Sus scrofa: one gene and its partners. The protein of the gene in region 1 purifies or fractionates together with the protein of each later gene. This does not show direct contact. Links are inferred from orthologs where the notes say so. Each region holds a gene or a part of one and is shown on either strand. Other genes may lie near its edges.

Region 1 (3,500 bases):
CCATGATTTGTTCTCAGCTGCCAAGAAAAGTCTAAAATGCAGCCTTTTTGGTGCTGGCCACAAACCATCAGCCTGCCTGGTTTACAAGGAGAGAAACTGAAAATCCAGAGAGGCGAAGTGGTTAAGCACAGGTCCTACTTATTAAAAGTGATAGTAAACTTTTCATCTTAAATATTTTCAAACCCCAGAAGGGCTGAATGAATAGAACGCTGAACATCCATATACCTGTCGCCTAGATTCACCTGTATTTAACACTTTGCCACATCAGCTTCCTCTCTCTCTAGCTTGCTTGCTCTTCCATCTGTGCTTTTTCTCTCCCTCCCTGAAAACTTCCTCGAGTAAGGGAGAGCTGATGTGAAAACCCAACTTGCAGAGTTGGCTCCTGTGTCCTTTTAAAATGTCTCCATCGTTCTTTTAGCACCTCTTGACTTTGTGGCATAATATGTTTCTGGTTCAATTTGTACTTTCCCTCCCTAAATTTGGATTTAGCTATTTTTCCAAGCATCCCTGGTTCCTTTTAATGAAAAACGGTATTTAGAAACCAAGATCTAGGCACTAGATGTGCTCATTGCCACACAGACATCATTGTTTCAGGCCTTCTAAGCGGACAGAGCTATGTTCTTTCTTTTTTGATGGCTTGGTGGTATTCCATTGTATAGGTAACTATAAGTGCTTAATTCTCCATTGTTGAGTATTTACATTATTTCCAATTATCATAAAAAATTCTGTAACAAATAACTTCTTGTACATATTTTGCAAATATAGGCATGTTTTGGAAGATAAATTTCTATAAATGTAATTGCTGGGTCAAAATTTTGTACAGTTGTGATTTTGATAGATATTTCAGTTGCCAGCCTTAGGGATTATTCTCTTATACACAACTACCAGCTTTTCTGTCCCACTTCTTTGAGACCCTCCCCTTGAGAGTACCAGGTCTCTTCTCACTCGTTTCTTTTCTTTGCTTATTTTTCTTACCACTTCTTGCTTTGGGTATCCCAATAGCCTTCCAACATCTATTTCTTTTTCCTTGCTCACATTCCTCTATAATTGCTATGCTGGCTCAAACTCTTTTAAAAATTACATATTCTAGGAATGCCCTAGTGGCTTAGCACGTTAGGATCTAGTGTTGTCACTGCTGTGGCCCAGGTTCGATCCCTGGCCCAGGAACTGCCACATGCTGCAGGCATGACCAAAAAAAAAAAAGTTAAAAAAAATGATGTATTCTAAGACATTTTTATTTTTTTTCTGCACAGCCAAGAGGCTTAGAGTCATTCCCCTGGGGTTCAGTACAATTCCCTCAGGCTGGCATTAAAAGCCCTCACACTTACTTTCACTTACTTTAGATGCTTAGGTTCTAGGGGGGACATAGAAGGATTAAGATATTGTTGCATTCATGGTGTGTCCTCAAATATAATTTAAATCAAAGTAAAAGCAACGGAGTAATGTTTCTCTGTTTTGCAGAGATGTTGCTTTGTCAAATCCTAGCATTTATTTGCCATTCTAGAACTGGCTTGTTTCTTAGGCTTGTGTATGGGAAGTTTGTTTGCTGATCTCATATCCTTGAATTATCAACAAAGATTCATAATTGATAGTTATTTATGGAAAGTGACATGATGTGATTTTTTACAGGGTCTCCAAAAAGCCTAGGGAAATGAAAGGAAAGAAAAGCAAAAAGATTTCTCTAAAATATACAGCAGCAAGACTACATGAAAAAGGAGTTCTTTTGGAAATTGAGGATCTCCAAGTGAATCAGTGAGTATTTATGTTTTTATTGTTTTATATATTGATTTTTAAATTTATGCATTTGTCATATCTTTATCTTATTGACTTTGTTTCTCTGGATAATCATTTTTATATTTTATGTGTATAATTAATTATGTGCAGAATTTGGCCTAATATGCAGTTAATTTGTCTCTCATGGAAAAGAAGGTATTTCTTTTCCTTGTTTGTGGAACATTTGTCTTGGGACATTTTACTTTTCCTTTTTAAAGCAGGAAGCCATTCCTTCCATTTATTTCTGTGTCCAAACTAAGAATAAATAAGACGGATGAGAAGAGCAGTGCCCTGCATTTCACCTGAGGCTAGGAACCTGGGACTTAGCTCATCTTCTTGGTTTTACTTTTTTTTTTTTTTTTTTTTGTCTTTTTTTGTCTTTTTGTCTTTTGTTGTTGTTGTTGTTGTTGTTGCTATTTCTTGGGCCGCTCCCGCGGCATATGGAGGTTCCCAGGCTAGGGGTTGAATCGGAGCTGTAGCCACTGGCCTACGCCAGAGCCACAGCAACGCGGGATCCGAGCCGTGTCTGCAACCTACACCACAGCTCACGGCAACGCCGGATCGTTAACCCACTGAGCAAGGGCAAGGACCGAACCCGCAACCTCATGGTTCCTAGTCGGATTCGTTAACCACTGCGCCACGACGGGAACTCTTGGTTTTACTTTTTACATTATCACACATGTGTTATCACACATGTGATAACACCTTTATCTGTAAACCTTTGTTTTTTTATGGTGGATGCTTAAAAATGTAATTTCTAGTCAGAATATTAAAAAAATGTTTGTTGTACAAAAACACAAAACATAAAATTTACCATCTTAACTATTTTTTACAGTGTACAGTTCAACAGTGTTAAATATATTCTTATGGTTGTACAAAAGAGCTCCAGAACTTTTCCATCTAACAAAACTGAAACTGTGCCCTTCAGACATAGTTTAAAGCCCCAGCCCTGGGCAACCAACATTCTCTTCTCTGTTTCTATGAATTTCACTCCTCTAGGTGCCCCATAGAGGTGGACCCACACACTGTGTAAGGTCACTTTTCTTTCTGTGGTTCCTTCACTTTTAGCGTGATATCCTCTCAAGGTCCATCCATGTTATAACCTGTGACAGATTTCCTGCCTTTTTAAGGCTGGCTAATTTCCCATTGTATACATGGCAATGGGAATGTTTTGAGACCCTACTTTGAATTCTTTTAGATATATACCCAGAAGCGAGATTGCTGGATCATATGATGGTTCTATTTTTTATTTGTTTGTTTGTTTGTTTAGGAACTGCCATACTGTTTTCCATAGCAGTTGGGGGAAAAAAAAGTAATAAAATAAAGTATTTTCTTTATTTTATTAACTAAATAAAACAAAGTATTTTCTAGGAGTGTCTGAGAAGTGTGTGAAAGCGCTTACCTCACTACTTCTTTGCTGTCATTGAATAGTAAAACAAGTTTTGATGTTTTTGAATCAGTGCATTAAAAATGGTAGTATTTTAAAATTTTGCATTTTTTAAAATTCCAGGTTTTTTCTTTTTTGGTGTATGTGTGTTTAAATGTGGCTTATTATCTATATTTTCTCTGGTCACTTTTTCATTCGGGAACCTTGGTCTTTTGGGATTATTTTTTTAGTTGAGCACTTTATGCATTTTTCAAATCTGTTTCATAATATTTACCATCTCCTCCCTTCTTTTTGTCATTATTTGCCACTACTGTTCAAGTGCCTACCATTATTTTGACTC
Region 2 (4,117 bases), on another chromosome or scaffold:
GGTCACAGACAAAGCTCAGACCCCGAGCTGCTGTAGCTGCGGTGTAGGCCGGCAGCTGGAGCTCCGATTCCACCCCTAGCCTGGGAACCTCCATATGATGCAGATGTGGCCTAGAAAAAAAACAAAACAAACAAACAAACAAAAATTAAGTAGCCTGAAAAAGAACTCAAAACAATAGCAAATAAAACATCACATTTAAGCAGGCTAGTCTGAATCCACACTCTTTAGCACCCTCTATGGTTCATGCAGTACCTGCTCTGTGGAGACCTTCAGAAATGGTTGCTAACACCCTCCACCTCCTCATCGGTTATTGTTTTTATTATACAATCCATTTCTACTCTTCCAAAAAGCCTTCCCCAACCAGCCAACATCAATTCTGCACTGCCCATTAAGTTCATTTATGCCTCACTCTTCTGACCTCTTGTGGGCTTTCTACTCCCACCCACTGCCTGCAAGCAAGCCCGTGCAAGCCCCAATCTCCAGCATGGTATGCACCTTCAGGGCATTTACTCTTCCATCTAGTAGTAGATCAGTGGGGCTGGGCTGGTTCCTTACCAGCCCAAAGGAGACCTTTCAAAAGCATCTTGGGGGATGTACAACACAGAGAATATAACCAATATTTATAACTATTAATGGAGTACATACAACCTACCTGAAACAGAATATTCTGTACCAACCATACCTCAATTAAACACAAACAAGGAGTTCCCTCTGTGGCTCAGCAGGTTAAGGACACGACGCTACCTCTGTGAGGAGGCAGGTTCAATCTCTGGGCTCACTCAGTGAGTTAAGGATCCAGTTTTGCCACAGGTGATGTAGGTAGCAGATGCAGCTCGGATCCCTGTTGCCCTGGCTGTGGAACAGGCCTCAGCTGTAGGTCCAATTGGACCCCCCCCCCTCGCCTGGGAACTTCAATGTGCCACAGGTGCGACCATTAAAAAAAAAAAAAATCTAAAAAACAACCAGCCATCCACGGGAAAGAGATGTCCAATGCTGGGCAGAGATGTCTCAGAGTCAAGAGCTGGAGAACGCAGGCCTCCACTCCAAAGAGACCTGTGAAGAACAGAAAGGGTGCCTGATGCATACGCGGCCGCAGAATGGAGAAACTTCAACTCGGACTGCGGCAGGTTAGCCGGCTTAATTCCAAATTTTAACGTTTACTTCAACTACCAGTTCACTTCAAACAAACAACTTTACTGTTCCAAGTCATACAGCCACTCAATGGCCTCTATTTTCTACCGAACTGCAACAGGAAGCTAAACTGACCTAACCACTCGGCCCGGGGCCGTTAAGTGCTTCCTGAGCTACCTGACCTTCTATCTGAGCCTGGGGCAGCTACAACCCTTCCGCTGCTTCCGCGTTCTCACAGCGAACTCAGGAAAACAGCTCCGCCCACACTAAACAGTGAACTCAGGGCCAAACAAGGGAGATATTCTGAAGGGCCGCGCACGTTTTGAGAGTCAGTGAAAAGTACTTTTTCCGGGATAAGAAACGCGCCCCAAACATACTGAGTCACCAACCGCCGCTTCGGGCCGGAAGCCACCGCACTAACACCGCCCCCCTTACGTAGTTAAGCGGAGTTTCCCGTGAGCCTCCGGGCGCGCGCGAGGACTACGATTCCCGGCATGCTCGGTGGCTGGCGAAATTAACCCTTCAGGGACTGCGGCTGCCCTTCGCCCCGCCTCCTCCTCTTACCTGGACCCCTCAGGGTGAGTTTTTGGGGCTTTGGGGAGGGACTCTTTCCTTTATTTAATATTTAGGGTGTGTGTATGTGAGTGTGTGTGTGTGTGGTGTGTGTGTGTGAGAGAGAGAGAGAGAGAGAGAGAGAGTGATGTGCTTATTTTCCTAAAATGAGGCAATTGGCAGTAATGAGATTCAGAGACTTTTTTGGAGTGGGAGACCCAGCATCAACTCTCTGAACCCCAGGACCTAAGTGGGATCACTCTTATCTTCCTCGGAATGCTGTTTAAATCGTCTCTTTCTTTAACCCCAGAACAAAACTAGCCAGTGACGCCCCCCCCCCCACCCCATATGCCCGGACTTCGACTCTACCCCAGCGCTCCCAGCAAGGTTTGTAATCTGGCAACCTAGTCTGGAGGTTTTATTATCCCTCTGGTTGGGAATGAGTACTCATGGAGGCCAAAGGGCCTCCCACGTCCTTTTGGATTAGAGATTTTAGAAATTAAGCCCTTTGCCTCTCAGAGCCTGCCCTTCCCCCCAGGTGCAAGGAGCCCCTGCAGGTTCAGACACCCTACTTGTGTCTGACCTGAATGACCATAGGTTTGTGGACAAGTGTTCCTTCCTTGGGAGTATGGATGGTGGGTGTTAAACTGTCCTTGCCCGCATCCCCGCTCCTTAAACGTTTAACACTGGGTACAGGAACAATCGGAGGGGGAGGTCACACTCTTCTCTTACTATTCTGTCTCTATTTTGTACACAGTTCCAGTTCTGGGCTGGCAGGAAGAGGGTTAGAGAATTACAGTATTCAGGATTATGAAGCTGTGGGATCCACTATCCCTGCTTCTCATCCATGGTCAGAGAGGAGCAGAGAGTCTGCTTGTTTTTTTCACCTTTCACTACTCCCAGACCCCACTTTAACAATCACAGTTCACAAGGCCCCCATCCCTGCTTCAGCCTTCAAGAGTCTAAAGCTGCTAGGAAAAAGGGCTCTTCTGAGTCAGAGGGTTGAGGGCATTGAATGCCTGGATCTCCTTCTTTGCCTCACCCCTATTTTACTGTTTGTCACTGGCAAGCATCCTATCCTCACCCCGGAGGTTAACTCCCCCATTCTGGGCAGTCTCTGGCTTCCTCCCCCTGCCCCCAAAGGGGCCATTGTTCTGGTCAGCATTTGGGGCCAGGTGGACAGAAGGGAGAAGACCTTGGGGCAGGAGTCCTGAACCATAGGAGGCCAGGGGAGTGAGGGCAGGCCAGCATATCTCTCCTCTATCTCACCCTCCCCATCGCCAACTGGCTCCCTGCCCCTGCCCCCGCCCCTTGACATCCCAGACTCCCTGGCTATTTAAACAGAGATGGGTGCCCCCATCGGCACACTGTCCTTTGGCCACCGGACATCATGCCTCCCAAGAAGGATGTTCCCGTTCCCGTGAAGAAACCAGTGGGGCCCCCTAACCCCAAGCCTGCTGCGCCTGCTGCCAAGCCAGCAGCAGGGGCCCCTCCAGCCAAGCCACCACCAGCGTCAGCGTCAGCGCCAGCACCAGCACCAGCACCAGCACCAGCTGTCCCTTCAGCCTCTGCGAAGATCCAGGAGCCCCCCGTCGATCTCTCCAAAGTGGTGGTGAGTCCCTGGAAAGTGAGAAAAGAATTTGGAGGGAGTGGTAAAGGGTGGGATTCAGCCTAGAGGACTAGGGGGTATCTAGAAGGTAGGGAATCAGTAAGCACTGGATGATAGCGGGGGTTTCCCTTCGTCCCCTATTTGGAAGGATTCAGGGTCATGACTCTGCTATTGTCTTTGTTGAGCTCTTCCTCTAATCTATAACACGTTCTGTGTACGTATATACACACACATTCTCACTGACCCTCCTGCTGGAGGCAGGGACTGTGAGATGGGGAACATCTGGGTTCTGAGGACAGTTTCAAGGTGAAGGGAGGGAGCTGCTGCCGGCCCCTGGCTGACTGTTCAACACGAAAGGCCACAGCTCTGAACCCCAGGAAGGAAGGCTGAAGAGGACAGACTTGTTAGACAATCACAGCTGGGGGCCAGGGGTAAATTTAGCCTTTGTTCAGCCCCCAGTTATGTGAGGGATGCAGGGCTCAGGGCAGTAGAGGGAGGGGAACAGGTGGCATGGGATTAACCCTGTTCCCAGGAAACCCTCCCCCCAATAATTCCTCCTCTTGGGATTCTCCCAAGGTCTGGAGCTGGGAATGGGACTGAGGTGGCTGGGCTCCCAGCCTGGTCCCTTTGGGCCCCTCCCCAGAAGTGGTTGCCAGTTGGTCGGGAGGAGTGCTGGAGAGAGATTGAATAAGCCCTGTCATCCCTCCTCACCTGCTCTTTTCTTCCACAGATCGAGTTTAACAAGGACCAGCTGGAGGGTGAGGAGAAGCTGGTCCCCTGAGCCCACTGTCCATCCCAAGCCCCTGGTCAGATCCTCTTTCTATT
Region 3 (3,592 bases), about 15 Mb from region 1:
GGCATCTGAGTTTTCACTTATCACTGGAATTCAAAATTGTAAATATAAATATAAAATAAACAGCAAAAACCAGTGTGTTTGGCATTCAAAACAGTTAATCTAATTAGGCAAGCATATAAGTGGAAACATATGGCATTAATGACCAATCTAGTTCCTTTACATTTTTGCAAATTCTACATAACCTCTGAATGAAACTGTTTAAACTCTACAAACCTCAAAGTTTGCTTCTACTATTCCAAAAAGTATGTTATATGGGTAAGGTCTAATTTATACCTGCTCCAAACTGAAATTTACAAACCAATCATTTGCTTTAACAAAGGCAGTGTCATGAATTAATACCAAGGGCAACTGGAAACATATATTCATTATAGTTTGTATTCTTTTGTTAATTTCAGGCCAATTTTTTTCATACAGAAATAACCAACCTTAAAGAAGTATTTGTATTTCCCAGTTCATAAAATATTCTGAAAATGGATCAATCACACACAAGGTTAAAATTAGTATTCCCTACTAATTCCTATTCATTCAACAAACATGTATTTGTGTCGTAACTATCATTACTGGAGTTAGTTCACCTACCAATTTTTATTTCTCAGAAAAATACAAATGCAAAACTGCAGAAACTTTTTAAAAGTTTTAAAACTCACTGAAGAAAATTCTACAGAAGCTAAAATCAGGAAATGGCTGAAAACATGTCATGTAGATGTCACTACAGCAACTCCAAAGGAAGATGATGAAGGGATGTACTTACGTTTCAAAACAACGATCCACGTTGTCAGACATCAAAAGCAGCATGCATAGCTGTTCAAGGGCTATTAGTTGCATGTCCCTTTCATCTCCCTGTCCCATCTGCAGCCATTCCAGCAATGTATCTGGATCCACATCTGCCATGGTTTTTTTTTTTTTAAAGGCTCTTTGCTTAAATTAAAAAAGTAAAAGCAAAAATTCCTCTAAATGTCCAGAAATGATCAGGGTGGGTTTAAATTTTTTTTTTCTTTTACACGGGCCAGAGCCAAATTTTCGTGGTGTCCTCCTGGAATTAGAAAAGACTCATAAGTGTGTGTGGATAGAGAGCTTAATGCAGTTTTTCAACTTTCCTTATTCCTCGGTTTAACTTCATATATCACACTAAATAAAAACCAGTTTTGAACAAGAATATAAGCTGATTAGGTTGCTGCTTAACTGGAAACCTGAGCCGTCTTTGTCAAAGACAGTTAAACAAGCTTCCTATCCCAGTACTGCTATCACTAATGTCTGTGCCAAAAGGCAAACAACACCTTACTATGAGTTCTTTTTTTTCAGCAAACGTCTTTCCCCTCCTCGACCCAAAACTGATCTTCGGATAAGGATGAGAATCAGTATTTTAAGGAGACTAAGAATTTTGATCTAATCCCTCTCCAAATTAAGTTTCTATTTTAAAATTACCTCCAATTTCATAAATTCTGCCGACTTCTCGATTTACTTACTGCTATTCTTACCATATCTAAATACAAATGATAGACACAAGATCTATCTAGGAATAAAAACTTGATTAGGAATTTTGGCTGTTTTGGCAACTGTTTTTAAAAGTTTTAAAAGAAATGCTAAAAGTAAGTACAATGGACTAACACATTACGGATCAGAATATAGGCTAATCTATGGTCCTCTTTCCCTGTCCCCATAGAGTGGGCAGTTGGTTAAAAACAACAACAGCGAAGGAAAAGCAACCACAACAGGCAAGTCATTACAAAAGCTCGTAAGTGCCGTGAAGGAGAGACGGCTTTGGGTCCCCTGCAACCCAGGTGCAGGTGTATAAACCCAGCGGCAGGTTCCAGTGGGCACCCAACGGCGGCCGTCAGCAGGGGTGACCCAACACCCTAGGCCCACTCGACCCCGCGCCGAGAGGCGCAGGCACCGCGCTCCGGTTTCCTGGCACCAAACCCGGCTAAGTTAGCTACCTGTGTCGAAAAGGAGGGGGAAGTTTTGGAGGAGGAGCAGCAAGCCTCTCTACCCTAGAGGAGGCCACCGAGGCGGGCTCGGAGATGGGTCTCCCGGGAGCGGCGCCCGGAACTCCGAGGCCCGGGGAGATGTCCCTGGCCCCGCCGGGCGGCGAAACCTTCTCAAGGACAAGGGGAGGGGGGGGGCTGCCGTAGGTTCCGGCTTGGACAAGCCGGGTCCCGCCCCGGGCAGAGCCAAGGCTGGGAAACAAAGGGGCTAAGAGGGTAAGTCAACAGCAGTGCCGCCGACCTTACCAGGGGCCGGGGTCTCGCTCCCAGCCCGCCGCCGGGCATCCCTCATCCCGGCACCAGGGCCGTTCCGACCGCCCAGGGAGTCCCCGCCTCCCCTTCCCTCAAGCTCTTACCCGGGCCTGTCCTCCCAAACCACTCCGGTCCAGCTCCAAGCAGGCCGCGGGCAGAGCCAGGCCCGGCCGCGGCCCTAGAGTTCCCAGGAAGCCGCAGGCCGCGCAGGTCGAGCCGGGCAAGCGGCACAGGAAAAGCCGCTCCTCGTCCCTCCCCTTCCTCCGCGGGGACCTGGTGACGGGGAAGCGAGAGGTTCCCCAGACCAGCGGCAGCCAGCGCACGTCCCGTCCCCGGCACGCGGCTCCTCCGGCCTTACAGCTCAGAGGCCCGCGCGGTGCTGCCGGCGGCGGCGGCGGGGGAGGCCGCGTCCATCGCGATCCGGGAGGGGGAAGGGAGGAGGGTCGGGGGAGAGCCGGGCGGGGAAGCTGCGGAGGGCAGCCGTGCGGCGCGGAGGCGGAGCAAATGGGCTCTACTGACTGCGACCTCGCCGGCCGCCACGTGGGGCGCTGCAGGTGCCGGTCGGCCAGTGGCGCAAGGGGCGCCAGCCCTGGGTGCCAGGCGGCGGGACGCGTCGCCGCCTCTCTCTGGTCTCTCTCGCACTCCGGGCCTCGGTCTCCCTCGGCCTTGTCAGCTGTCGCTTTACTATCGTACGCCCTGCACCTTCACTATGCTATCAATCGGAGCGCGCTCCCACCACCCCGCACGCGCGGCTGCACGTACGCTCAGCGTGTTTTGCACGGTGTGTACACACTTGGCGCGCTCCTGCTGACGGCACTCAGGCTGCACGTCAAACCTGCGGCCCAGGCTGTCTTTGCCTGGCGTCCTACCAGGGCGACCGTACCCGGCCAAGAACTGGTCACCCCTCCTCGAGCACCGAAAAGTGTCGCGGGAGGAGAAGCGCCTCCCTTCGGTCCTAGGAGGCAAACCGCCCGCAGTTCGTTGGAAAGAAAATCTTTCACAACTCCGGGGAAGTAAATATTGTCGAGTGTTCTCTCCATTGTACGGATGAGAGAACTGAGGCTCCCAAAAGCGTGAATTCAGGCCCAATGGCGTCCCCAGTAAGCAGCAGCACTGCGAGTGTGCTTTTGATTTTTTCCTGTGGGTTTTGGTCGCAAGAATGTCTGTAATTATTCCCTTCGGACGTTCTGTTTCACAGGCGTTGAAAACAAAATATATTTGCTTATGGTACGTACATGGAGATATTTAGGATATAATTAATTGGAAATGTGACTATAGCTTCCTTTTTTTAAAATCAAGAAATTAATGCCTTGGTTTGTGAGATAGGTAAACCCATGCCCAGACACCCACTGTAC
Region 4 (4,086 bases), on another chromosome or scaffold:
AAGGAGAGATGAAGGTCAGATTTAGGAGCCAGCCAGCTTGACAGCGTCCCTGTAACACGCCAGACCCTAGACTGAGCACCGGGGGCTTCCTAGCGAGTGAGTCACTGACTCTGCCCTCCTGGAACATACAGTTGAAATCTCGCCAATTGTGGGCAAGATAAGTCAGTCCAGACTTTGAGGGCCCACTGGGTGCCACCTGCTTTTCACTTAGGGGACAGATGTAGCTGGGACAATAGATGAAATTAATGAGGGAGGAACGAAGCTAGTAGGGCAAAGAACAAGCTTGGGGAACACCTGTTCTTTTTCCTCAGGTTTGGTTTATGTCCGTAGGGAATCCTGGCTGGACATAGATTGGCAGTCAAACTAAACTGGTTTTAATTTTTTTTTTAATCACTTAATTATGTGTCCTAGGGCAAGTCACTTAAACTGTGAGCGTCCAAATTTCCTACCTTTACAATGGTATGCCTAGTGGAATCTATCACGTGGCATAGTGAGGATTCAGCAAGAAAATAAGGGCAGCGTTTTTGCATAGCGTCTGGCCTGGCACAAGTACGTGGTAAATGGCTGGCTATTGTTAAGGCTCAGGCACACGAGGCAATAACCAGTGTCTCCAGATTAGACACACAGAAAGTAGCAGGCCTGAGATTTAGAACTAGGTGATCTACCTCCAGAGCTAGCTGAGTTCAGTCTAGCACTGGCCCTGGACATAGCTTTCAGTAGATGGTGGCTGTGGCTTTTTTTCACGTGCTCCATGGCTATTGCACAGGTTAAAACTGGATTATCTTAGAAAGCCTGGCAATACATTTTCTGCCGAGATAACAGTCTCTCTTTTGCGATTTTTGGTTCAGAGAATCACATTTTGGTCTGGGGTGTGAGAGGGTCCAGGCTTTACAGCCACGTGGGCACTGTGTGTGGGAGCAGGGAGGCCTGCGCCTCTCCAACCGCCAGGGGGCGCCGACCGGAGAGCGACACCGCCTCCTCACCACCCCCCCACGTGGGTCCGAATGGTTAGGCCCGCCGGGCAGGTAGTGCGCTTCCGCGGCCTCCCCCCCCACTTCCTCCGTTGGTAGGGGCTGCGGGTCCGGGCGGAAGTGGGGCAGGCGGGCGGGAGCGAGGCGTCGCCGTTGTATATTCATGAGGCGCGCGCAGCCCGGCATGCTAATGAGGCGGGGCGCGGCGGCGGGCTGAGGAGCTGCGGGGCGGCGGCGGCGGCGGCGGCGGCGGGCTTGGAGCTGCGGGGCGGGAGCGGCGTAGGCGCGGGGTCAGGAGCCAGCGCGAACCTGGACATGGAGCCGCCCGGTGGGGGTCTGGGGCCCGGCCGCGGGACCCGGGACAAGAAGAAGGGCCGCAGCCCGGACGAGCTGCCTTCGGCAGGCGGCGACGGCGGCAAATCCAAGAAATTTGTGAGTGTCCCTCCCACCTGGTTCCCTCAGCCTGGCCCCGTAACCGCCCTCCGGAGCCCGGAGACCCTCGCTGCCGGCCCCAGGGGCGCACGCCGGTCCCTAGGGAGCCGCCCCCGCGTCTCCCTTCCTGGTTTTGCTGGGTCCTGGGCTCCGCAGCCCGACCTCCTACCGCGCCGGGACGTCGGGGAGCCCCGGAGTCCCCCCCTCGGCTGCTGTCCCGGCCACCTCGGGGCTCCCTTCACCCCCGACCCCCCGCCAAGCCCGCACGCTCTGCCCTCCGCCCCCACGGCCCCGGCCGCCCTCGGCCCCATCTCTCCCCTCGGAGCCCACTTCCTTTCTTCTTCCTCTTGTTACCCGAACACGCCTTCTCTACCTCGATGCGCTGTGCTTGTCTGGGTCCATTTTCTCTTATTACCCTCCCCCCCTCCCTTTTGGTATTCTCTTTATTTGCGTCTCCAAAGGTCACTTCCTTCCCCAAGATTGATCTCTTTCACCTGCTAACTTTCCTCCCGCCCAGTCCCCTCTCTGGGCCCTTAGCCCAGTGTCACCTGATAATCCTTCCTCTCTGGAATGTTACCTGACTTGGGCCCTCCCTTCCCTCCTCCCTGGACGTCCGGCCTTGTGCTCGCAGGAGTGGGTACCTGCCCAGTTCCTCTGGTCACTGGGCATAACCTTCGTTGGCTTCCCGTATCGCCCTGCCCTGAGAATCTGTCCCTTTGCCCTCTTGCTGACCACTTTTCAGGGGGTTAGAACTTCTGAATAAGCCCTTCTTGACTTGGGATGGTGACACATCTCCCCCAAGGGGAGGAAGTCAGACTTAAAAGGCCGAGAAGCTTGTGAGGATCTAATTGAATTGCCGAGTCTGCGTTACCCCTGATAACCCGCCTGGGCTCTTCCGCCACCTCCTGTGCCCCAAGGCCCCTTCACGTCCCTTTTCCTACTCGTAGAAGAGTGTAGTTTTCCTTAGGTGCCACTTACTTCCAGTCTGAAAGAGTGTTGATATTCAGGTAACACTGCCATGTTTCATTAGCTTTGCACACCCTGAAGCTTCTTTTTCCCTCGTCTCTCCAGGGAGGTTTTGTTGGCTTTTTGCTGTAGAAGCTTTGAAAGTTATGGGGCGCTGTCCATGAGAGGGGGAAGTTTGGGATCTTCATAACCATTTGCTAGTTGAAACTGGAGTTAGGTAGTCCGCTCTCTCCAGTAATTACGCCCCCACCCCAGTAGCTCTGCTAACCCAGTGGTTTCTCACTTTTTCCTCTTTTCTCCTATTCCCCCCCCCCCCCCCCCGCGCCTTAGCATTCTGACCCAACTCCACAAGTTTTGGGGAAAAAAACTGATACAAAGTGATGGAAACAGGAAGAAAATATTGTTTTGGGACCTAGAGGGTTGAGATGTGGGGAGTATTAAACAATTAAAATAGTGACTCATCTCTTCCTACCTATTTCTAGCAAGACAGGTGCTTCTGGACTGTCCTTTCCAGGGCCTGTAGGCTGTCAGTCACTGCCTGTTTTTATCTGGCAAATGCCCTCCCCTTATCCTCCCCGATCCCTCCCTAGACATGCAGGTTTAATAGTAGGGACAGCCTTTCCCCCACGGTGACCAAAACAACATTCCCCTTGGTTTCTTTAGGGCAAGAATGACCCTTTAGTTAGTTAGGGAGCTTTCCTTCTAAGCCTTAGGTTCAGAGCCCATATTCCTTCTCTTTCTGTATCATTTTGTTTTGCTTTTGTTTCCATGGGTACAGTGTGACCTTCCTCACCCGATTCCAGCTATTCTTGCTGATTTATAGTGACCGCCGTGACGTGTAGATGTTTTTCAAGTTCTTAATAGAATGTCATATGCGCTTTTGTTTTATCTACCCCTTACCTTGTTTCACAAATTTGAGAATTGTGCTGAGTGCAGGGGGCTGAGCGGTGAGAGACCTGAAGATACTCAGCTTCTTTTCACCTGCTTTTTGGAATGTCCACGGACTCTTGTGTATGCTGAGTGGATTTGGCTCAGAGTTGTTGGTATTTGCTTTGGAGAGGGTGGAGCTGAACCAAGTTCTCTTTTTTTTTTTTTTCCTCTCTGAGGTGTTGATCTTAACTCTTAACCTGCTGAATTTTAAAAAATAAGCAAGCAAGTAACACGTACAGCTTGTGAGGAGAACTGCACTCCTGGCCAGGGGCTTGAAAGTTGCCGGCAGAGGGGTGCTGCTTAACCCCTTTATATTCCTCCCCAAGGCTTCAGGATGCTCTTTCTCATTGCTCTTTATGTAAGAACTCTGCGGAAACGAGAGCCTAGGAGGAGCACTGCAATCCACTTCTCTTTGTGTCTGGGTATGTACATGCGGGTGGGTGGAGTGGGCGAGATTGCTGGTTTGCTTTTGTTATACCCCTGGCTTAGTTTTCTTGAACTACCAGGCTGAACGTGAACGCAGAGCTGTTTCACCTCCTCTACCTTTTCTAGGACGCGCGTCCTCGGGAACCCCATAAAGATGTGCTTTATCAAACTGCCCTGCTTTGGACTTAGGGTGCCTGAAGGTTACTTGCATCTGAGGGTCTACTAATCCCTTTAGCTTCTACTTACCTTCCCAAGCTTAGGCAGATTCTAAGTACAGATGAGCTGATGAGAACACAGAGCTCACAAATGACCTGAGATCTGCTCTTACCTCTGTGGCATCTTGTGCGGAAAGGACACAAGG

The links. Proteins that work in one complex are often made in the same cells at the same time.
Region 2: the proteins of IQGAP1 (region 1) and MYL6B purify together in Homo sapiens (affinity purification with mass spectrometry; 3 studies listed by BioGRID and IntAct, with this or other methods). This does not show direct contact. The link is inferred for Sus scrofa from reciprocal best matches to the Homo sapiens genes IQGAP1 and MYL6B.
Region 3: the proteins of IQGAP1 (region 1) and HECTD1 purify together in Homo sapiens (affinity purification with mass spectrometry; 3 studies listed by BioGRID, with this or other methods). This does not show direct contact. The link is inferred for Sus scrofa from reciprocal best matches to the Homo sapiens genes IQGAP1 and HECTD1.
Region 4: the proteins of IQGAP1 (region 1) and DIAPH1 purify together in Homo sapiens (affinity purification with western blotting; 3 studies listed by BioGRID and IntAct, with this or other methods). This does not show direct contact. The link is inferred for Sus scrofa from reciprocal best matches to the Homo sapiens genes IQGAP1 and DIAPH1.

Annotation. Positions count from the first base shown.
Region 1 is NC_010449.5:53,121,479-53,124,978, forward strand, and holds part of IQGAP1 (ras GTPase-activating-like protein IQGAP1), read left to right. Parts: intron 1-1,629; coding exon 1,630-1,752; intron 1,753-3,500. UniProt on the Homo sapiens protein: Plays a crucial role in regulating the dynamics and assembly of the actin cytoskeleton.
Region 2 is NC_010447.5:21,553,034-21,557,150, forward strand, and holds the start of MYL6B (myosin light chain 6B), read left to right. Parts: upstream 1-1,317; 5' UTR 1,318-1,709; intron 1,710-2,043; exon of another isoform or gene 2,044-2,070; intron 2,071-3,027; 5' UTR 3,028-3,073; coding exon 3,074-3,295; intron 3,296-4,022; coding exon 4,023-4,050; intron 4,051-4,117. UniProt on the Homo sapiens protein: Regulatory light chain of myosin. Does not bind calcium.
Region 3 is NC_010449.5:68,317,575-68,321,166, reverse strand, and holds the start of HECTD1 (E3 ubiquitin-protein ligase HECTD1), read right to left. Parts: upstream 2,133-3,592; intron 2,076-2,132; coding exon of another isoform or gene 2,022-2,075; intron 1,034-2,021; 5' UTR 892-1,033; coding exon 752-891; intron 1-751. Other genes in the region: uncharacterized protein LOC110261745, read left to right, coding at 2,022-2,075, 2,133-3,254. UniProt on the Homo sapiens protein: E3 ubiquitin-protein ligase which accepts ubiquitin from an E2 ubiquitin-conjugating enzyme in the form of a thioester and then directly transfers the ubiquitin to targeted substrates.
Region 4 is NC_010444.4:143,268,195-143,272,280, reverse strand, and holds the start of DIAPH1 (protein diaphanous homolog 1), read left to right. Parts: upstream 1-1,286; coding exon 1,287-1,403; intron 1,404-4,086. UniProt on the Homo sapiens protein: Actin nucleation and elongation factor required for the assembly of F-actin structures, such as actin cables and stress fibers. Binds to the barbed end of the actin filament and slows down actin polymerization and depolymerization.